Linked DNA regions of Xenopus tropicalis. The main gene of each other region encodes a partner of the protein of the gene in region 2 in a complex. Links are inferred from orthologs where the notes say so. Each region holds a gene or a part of one and is shown on either strand. Other genes may lie near its edges.

Region 1 (3,991 bases), on a different chromosome or scaffold from region 2:
GAATTACAAAACCGTGTTAGGAAATAAAAGATGTAATGGATATAAGGAAAACAAGAAAAAGCACCATATAATAAATATTTATAGGGTAAAAAAAATTCATGTAACTACTTGCATGCCAGGGTAATTTAAAGTGCAGCCTTCAGTTTCTGTGATGCATTAAAACAGATGGATTTCTTAAGAATTCCATGAAGACATGGCTGTCAGCTTTTAAAGCTTGCTGACAGAGATGGTCCAAAATGCTTTGGCAGCCAAGGCAATGGTGGCTATCTAACCCCCACTTTGACCATAATACTCCCACTACCCATGGTCCCATCACACCATTACCCCTTTCCAGAAGACATAGGGGCAGATCTATTAAAATGTGAGTTTAGAGGTTAATACATAAAAACTCACCCATGTTCTATTCATTCCTATGGGATTTTTACAACCATATTTATCAATGGATGAAAGTTAGAACTCACCATGTGACAAATACACTTCTAAAAATCCCATAGAAATGAATAGAACGTGGGTGAGTTTTTATGTATTAAGCTCTAAACTGACATTTTGATAAATCTGCCCCTTAGTGTTGGAAACAGACCAGATGCTATCAAACCCGATTATTTCCCAAAAAATGATGTGCCCTAGGCAGATGCCTTTAATGCCTACGTCTAGTTTCAGCCCTACTTATTCATACTTAAAAAGGGCTGTATCATCATATTAGTTTGTGTTTATACAAACAGACTAATGTAGAGTTGTAGAATATATATATATATATATATATATCACACAGTACTATCTGTCCCACTCAGGACTAAGCCATTTCAGAAGCCTGAAAGTATTATGTCACATTTGGGGTCTGTGATGCAACTACTGTCTAATTTGAATGGTTAGCCCAAATATTTTTGGTTTCAGATTTGTAATATTGGGTACCAGCCGCCAAGCACCAACAATCCTAAAATGTTAAATTCTTTTAAACTGTTTTGCTTCTCCTAAACTAATAATTCTAGGGTTTTGTACCCTACAGTGGCAACCCTAACACAAAAGAATGGCTAGACCAAGAAAAAACACAATATTCGGTACTACATATATTGATGAACTTTAGCTGATCTCCAACTGGTCAACAATGAATAGTTTCCCAAAATCTACAGTACCACGGCTTCCCTATTCCAACTTTTAACCTCTGCACATTTTAACACATCTGTATTAAATGTCTCACGAAAAAGCATTAAAAGCCTACTGACATCAACAGTGGCTAATTACTTTACTCAAGTGAACACACACATATTTAAGGAACAAATAACATGAATGACATGATATATGAATGATGTCCTTTTTAAGGAGAATAGCTTCCCAAAGATATTCTTAGTATTCTGCAACTGCACCCCTATTAGCCATAGATGACAGTTTTTCCTTTTTTGTCAGTATAGAAGCGATAAGGAAGCTATCTTTTATAAGCAGATATGGAAAGCAAAATCTTCCTTATAAGCCAGCATATTTATCTTTAAAATATGCTAAATATGACCATGAATAGACAAGGATCTGAAAGAAAGGGAGACCAATGCATGATAATGTGCTGGATCCCTTCCTGCTTCTGACTTTCCTTGTCCTAATAATGCAGAAATCAAGATTTTCTGATCCAAGGACTGACAGATCTGCAATGCATGTCAAATATAAGTGAAATCATTACAACTAATGTAGTCTCAACATAATGAAGTTAATATAGTAAATGACTGGCAAAAAGGTATTTCTCAGTCTGGTTACACCCTTCCCAGATGTTCCATATCGATTTGCCTTTACAAAAAAAACTATATATTTTTTTTTTTTTTAAAAAGTCTGCTGTTCGTACGTTCCCGTTGTTTCAGCCCCAAGGCTTTCTGCATTACCCGTATTAATCAAACAGCAGCGCAGCGCAGGAATCTAGGATATCCTTCCGCCTTGCACTTCCTTACCTTTCTCTGCTCAGCAGATCGCCTTCCTGGATGTTGAGCCCCTAAGAGAGATAGCCTAAATCCTTTCTCCAAACATTATCATTTACACTGCTGGGCCAGATCTATAATGTTGACACTGGTCGCAGCCCTTTCCTGATGTATAATCCGTTTAAAACCGATTCCATCTGTTAAATTCAATCCCTTACTACACGTCCATGAGCATGGCTGCACATCGATCAGCATTATCACATGTAGGTATCTCTTATCAGCCCATTAGTATTACATGATAATTATGGTTTTGTTAGCCGTCCGGCCCAGGGCAGCTCAGTAAGAACAAACACCTTTGACCTGTAGTATTTTTTATATGTCGCTCAATTATTGCATAGTTAAGGAAAAGCCTGGCATTAACCCCATAAGTTAGAAAAGTATGACGATCAAGTACATAGTATTGAAGGGTCACAGCGAGCGATCGGCGAGCGGCAGTCGGAACAATGCGCCGCATTAAGGAACTGTCTGTGGTGCTGATTCCTGCGCTCAAATCGCGCAATAGTACGGCTACTTTACTCTCCTGCTGACTAGAAACACATACAGCAAATAAATATCTGCCTTACCTAGGCTCTGACCTGTTCCTATAAGTAATTGAATTAATGCATAGTCAAACAAAGCCTGCCATTTATGCCATGATCGTAGAACACTTATACTGAACTGAACACGTTAAGATTAGGAACTTTCATAGTGCTGATCCTGGTGTTTCCAAATTCTCAGCATTCAATGCAGTAGTTAGGCTAAGGAATAAAACATTTCTTACCTAGGTCCTTCCCAAGATGTAAAAGATCTGATAAAATGTTGCTTGTTATCAAATCCCACTCTGAAATTTGCAGCTTTACAAAGGCCTATTTATAGGGGTCTTAACAATGAGCTAGAATGACGTGTGGTTTAGAGGGGGGTATAAGCTCCCACCTGAACTTTAAAGAAAGAAATGCGTCAGGCTGTCTCAAGCACCCAGAAACACAAAGGATGATGGCTAGCTGATAGTTATGTTTTCATAATGAGATCTGGATTTATGTGGTGAATCCTTAAAACATGAGCTATTAATTAGTTAATGATAGCATCACGGGAAGTGCTATTTATTTGCATATAGGCATTTTTATCTCGTTTTGCATAAATTATGTGAATTGATGCGAGGCTGCAATGTTTGGAATGATTCTTATGTTCTTAATTCATAATAATGTAATGAGTGTATGCTTTTAAATCAAGGATCCATTTACTCTCCTTTCCCTGATTTATTTAAATATTTACTGATAACTAGAAAGGGAAGTTTGAGAACAAACTTCATGTTGGGTTGAAAAATGTGAAGTTACTGAATGAAATCTGATCTGTTGTTGGCTCGCCCCACTTTTTCTAACCACAGTTATATAGTAATAACCACTGTGCAAAGTTTGGGGACCTTGGTTTTAATAGTGTCTGAATAGCAGCAATTTATTTTTCCCCACTGAAAGTCAACGAGTGACATCTGATTGGCGGTTGGTGGCTCCACTTTCTCTAACCTGGACATGCTGTTACCCAGTGACTAACTCTGCAAAGTTTAGGGACTCTAGTATTAATAGTTAAAGAACGGCAGCTGTTTACATTTAAACCAATAAAAGTCAATAGGCAAATTGTGATTGGTGGTTGGTGGCTCCGCCCACTTTTTCTAATCTTGAGTCGACGTCACCCAGTGACAAACAGTGGGCACTCTGGCATAAATAGTGTGAGAATGACAGCATTTTAAATTTAAACCAATAAAATTCAATGAATGAAATCTGATTGGCTGTTAATGGCCCAACCCCTATTTTTTAACTGCAGTCCTCCAGTGACCAACTTTGCAAAGTTTGGGGACAAAGTTTTGGGGCGTAAAAATTGTGGGAAAAAAGAGTTAATGCTGTTATATGAGATTTGAACAATGAACTAAGTATAAAATACTGAGATTTGAACAATGAACTAAGTATAAAATACTGGTCAGGGTCTTTGAGATAACAGCAACATGGTACATATATTGTTTTTATAAATCAGATGGTTTTAATAATTATTTATTGCTTAAT
Region 2 (2,813 bases):
CATTTAACCATTAAATAAACCCAATAGGGCTGTTCTGCCCCCAATAAGGGGTAATTATATCTTAGTTGGGATCAAGTACAGGTACTGTTTTATTATTACAGAGAAAAGGGAATCATTTAACCATTAAATAAACCCAATAGGGCTGTTCTGCCCCCAATAAGGGGTAATTATATCTTAGTTGGGATCAAGTACAGGTACTGTTTTATTATTACAGAGAAAAGGGAATCATTTAACCATTAAATAAACCCAATAGGGCTGTTCTGCCCCCAATAAGGGGCAATTATATCTTAGTTGGGATCAAGTACAGGTACTGTTTTATTATTACAGAGAAAAGGGAATCATTTAACCATTAAATAAACCCAATAGGGCTGTTCTGCCCCCAATAAGGGGTAATTATATCTTAGTTGGGATCAAGTACAAGGTACGGTTTTATTATTACAGAGAAACAGAAAATCATTGTTTAAAATTAGAATTATTTGATTATAATGGAGTCTATGAGAGATGGCCTTCCTGTAACTCCCCCTTTTGGATAACGGTTTTCTGGATAACAGATCCCACACCTTTATGCACTTACTTTTTGGGCCTTTATAAGGCTAACTAATAGAAACAACATTATTCAGTATGTTTTTTCCCATTCTGTTTATATTTCGTTCCCCAGAGTTGCTGCACTCGGGCTCGGCACATCACTCTCACTGCTGAGATGACATATGGTCCAGCTCTCACACTGCAGTCTCTCTCCCTCCTCAAGACTGTTGAAGTCACAAACAGGTGCAGAGATATTTTGGCAGATTTCATATCCTGTTTGTTGTTTTCAGTAGGCCAATAAATACAGCGCGTGACACATTATTTGCCTGGACGCCAAGATTTTTCTCCAACTCTAAACCTGTCTGGGATTGGCTGCTGAATCCAGACCATATCAGCAGCTTTTTAGCCTATGTCTAGGGCTAAATAGTAGGTCTGGCTTGGGACAGGCCAAATATTTATCAGGCAGGTTAAAAAATCCCATTGGGTTAGGCCCACTGTGGGCCGCTTCAGCCATTTAAGAAATGCTGTTTAATGTGTATAGTATACTGTACAATCGATATAGATATATATGTTTGAGCACTTCATTCATTAGCTGTTGGTTTGGTATGGTTGCCCTAGGTACAACTCTGGGCAAATTTCCATTTATCTACACTGGGCAAATTTCCAACTGACCAGTAACCAATGGAAACCAATAAGGTGTTTTTGCATTTATTGTTCTACCTTCAGCTGGCTGGAAAAAAAGGCAAATCACTAAGTAGTTGCGTGGGTTACCACCAAGGCGCAACTTTGCCCACTGATGATAAATGAGCAGCTTTCTGGATACAGGACACAACACAAAACTCACATGACCGTACAGTCCCAGGACACAGACAAACTTAATCACAAAACAATGCACAAGCATTCAGGGTAGACTGGCCCACCCAATCCTGTTGGGAAGCTTCAAGCTAAATTAAAGATGGCTGTGCTTCCCACTGTAAAATGCACGGGCATGTTTAATATGTCCCAGGAGGTGTGGCCTGATTGACGCTGGCAGTGTAAGCATCTGTGTGGTGGGGCGCAAAAGGGGTAGACAGGGGTGTGCAATGTGCTATTGACTGGGCCCTTGGCTTGGGAACCTGTGGGACCTCGGTACCCCAGTCCGACACTGCAAACATTCCACAATGCAGTTAATCCCAATATCACAATACAATTTTGTAAAGGAGTCCTCCTCCCAAAATAATGATTTTGTTTGCTGAATTAATGAATATACACATTTTAAGCACCTTTCCAATGTACATTCATTAAAAATGCCCAGTGGCCGTAAAGTAATTTGTAACACAGTGTATGTTTATCCTTTCCTGTTCTCTGGGTCTCACTTGTACAACATGAGTCAGTTCTCCTCCAGGGCAGTTAATCAGCTGACTTGCAACATTGGTTCAGGAGTCAGAGCCAGCAGTGCAGAAAATGTAAACACACAGGCAGGTACTGCTTTTAATAGCAACTACAAGTAACACTGAAAATCCCTAATGAACATAGATTGGAAAGTTACTTAGGATGACTCCACCCACTGTGACCCCTCCTTTAGGTACCTGTGAAATCCATCAGCCACTTATTCATGTTTACATCCGGTTGGCACAGCCCATTTGGTAGCCATTTTGTACAACAGACTAGTAAAGCACAGGATTATCCCAATGACTGTCCCACTGGAGACTGGGGATAACAGTACTAACACAGGCCAAGTTATAGTTAAACCAATTAATTCAGTTTTCAGGTAATGCCACTTAGTTCCACAAACAACCCATCGTGCCTTTATTTTGTGTCTTGCTTTTACTCTCAGTGTCATGTTGGGGCTGATGCGGTGGCACAAAGACTGATATTGGTGTAAGTGTATCGGGACAGAGAAGCCCCAGTGGTCCTCCCCTCTTCATCTGCCACTCCTGGGACCATCCTCCTGCCTTGGGCTCCCCTGCTGGAACAGCAAGTGAACGTTGCCAGGAAGCCCATGCGGAACCGCTTGTTCATGAAGCAGTATATGATGGGATTGACGCAGGCAGAGGTGTAGGAGAGCAAGTGGATGAAGGAAATTGGCACCCCCGACAGGCTGATATCTGCTGAATCCGTGTCAAAGGCTCTCCAGGCATTTGCACTGAAGACAGGGGTCCAGCAGATGAAGAACAGGATGACAATGACGATCAGCATACGGATGACTCTCTTCTTGGCCATGAGATTGGCAGCTGAGCTGTTGCTCCTTACTCGTTCAATCTTGGCACTGTGGTGGCTGGAGAGCTGATGCATTTCTAACTTCTTCC

What was found.
Region 1: the proteins of cckar (region 2) and cck are in contact, whole or in part, in a cryo-EM structure (PDB 7MBX), measured with the Homo sapiens proteins. The link is inferred for Xenopus tropicalis from reciprocal best matches to the Homo sapiens genes CCKAR and CCK. Residues at the interface, in NP_000721.1 of Homo sapiens: Cys94, Phe97, Asn98, Pro101, Asn102, Lys105, Asp106, Phe107, Thr118, Met121, Gly122, Val125, Tyr176, Phe185, Asn194, Met195, Cys196, Arg197, Phe198, His210, Leu213, Leu217, Ile329, Phe330, Ala332, Asn333, Arg336, Ala343, Glu344, Leu347; in NP_000720.1 of Homo sapiens: Asp96, Tyr97, Met98, Gly99, Trp100, Met101, Asp102, Phe103.

Annotation. Positions count from the first base shown.
Region 1 is NC_030682.2:54,400,208-54,404,198, forward strand, and holds the start of cck (cholecystokinin B), read right to left. Parts: upstream 2,801-3,991; 5' UTR 2,719-2,800; intron 1-2,718. UniProt on the Homo sapiens protein: This peptide hormone induces gall bladder contraction and the release of pancreatic enzymes in the gut. Its function in the brain is not clear.
Region 2 is NC_030677.2:32,073,943-32,076,755, forward strand, and holds the end of cckar (cholecystokinin receptor type A), read right to left. Parts: coding exon 2,344-2,813; 3' UTR 501-2,343; downstream 1-500. UniProt on the Homo sapiens protein: Receptor for cholecystokinin. Mediates pancreatic growth and enzyme secretion, smooth muscle contraction of the gall bladder and stomach. Has a 1000-fold higher affinity for CCK rather than for gastrin.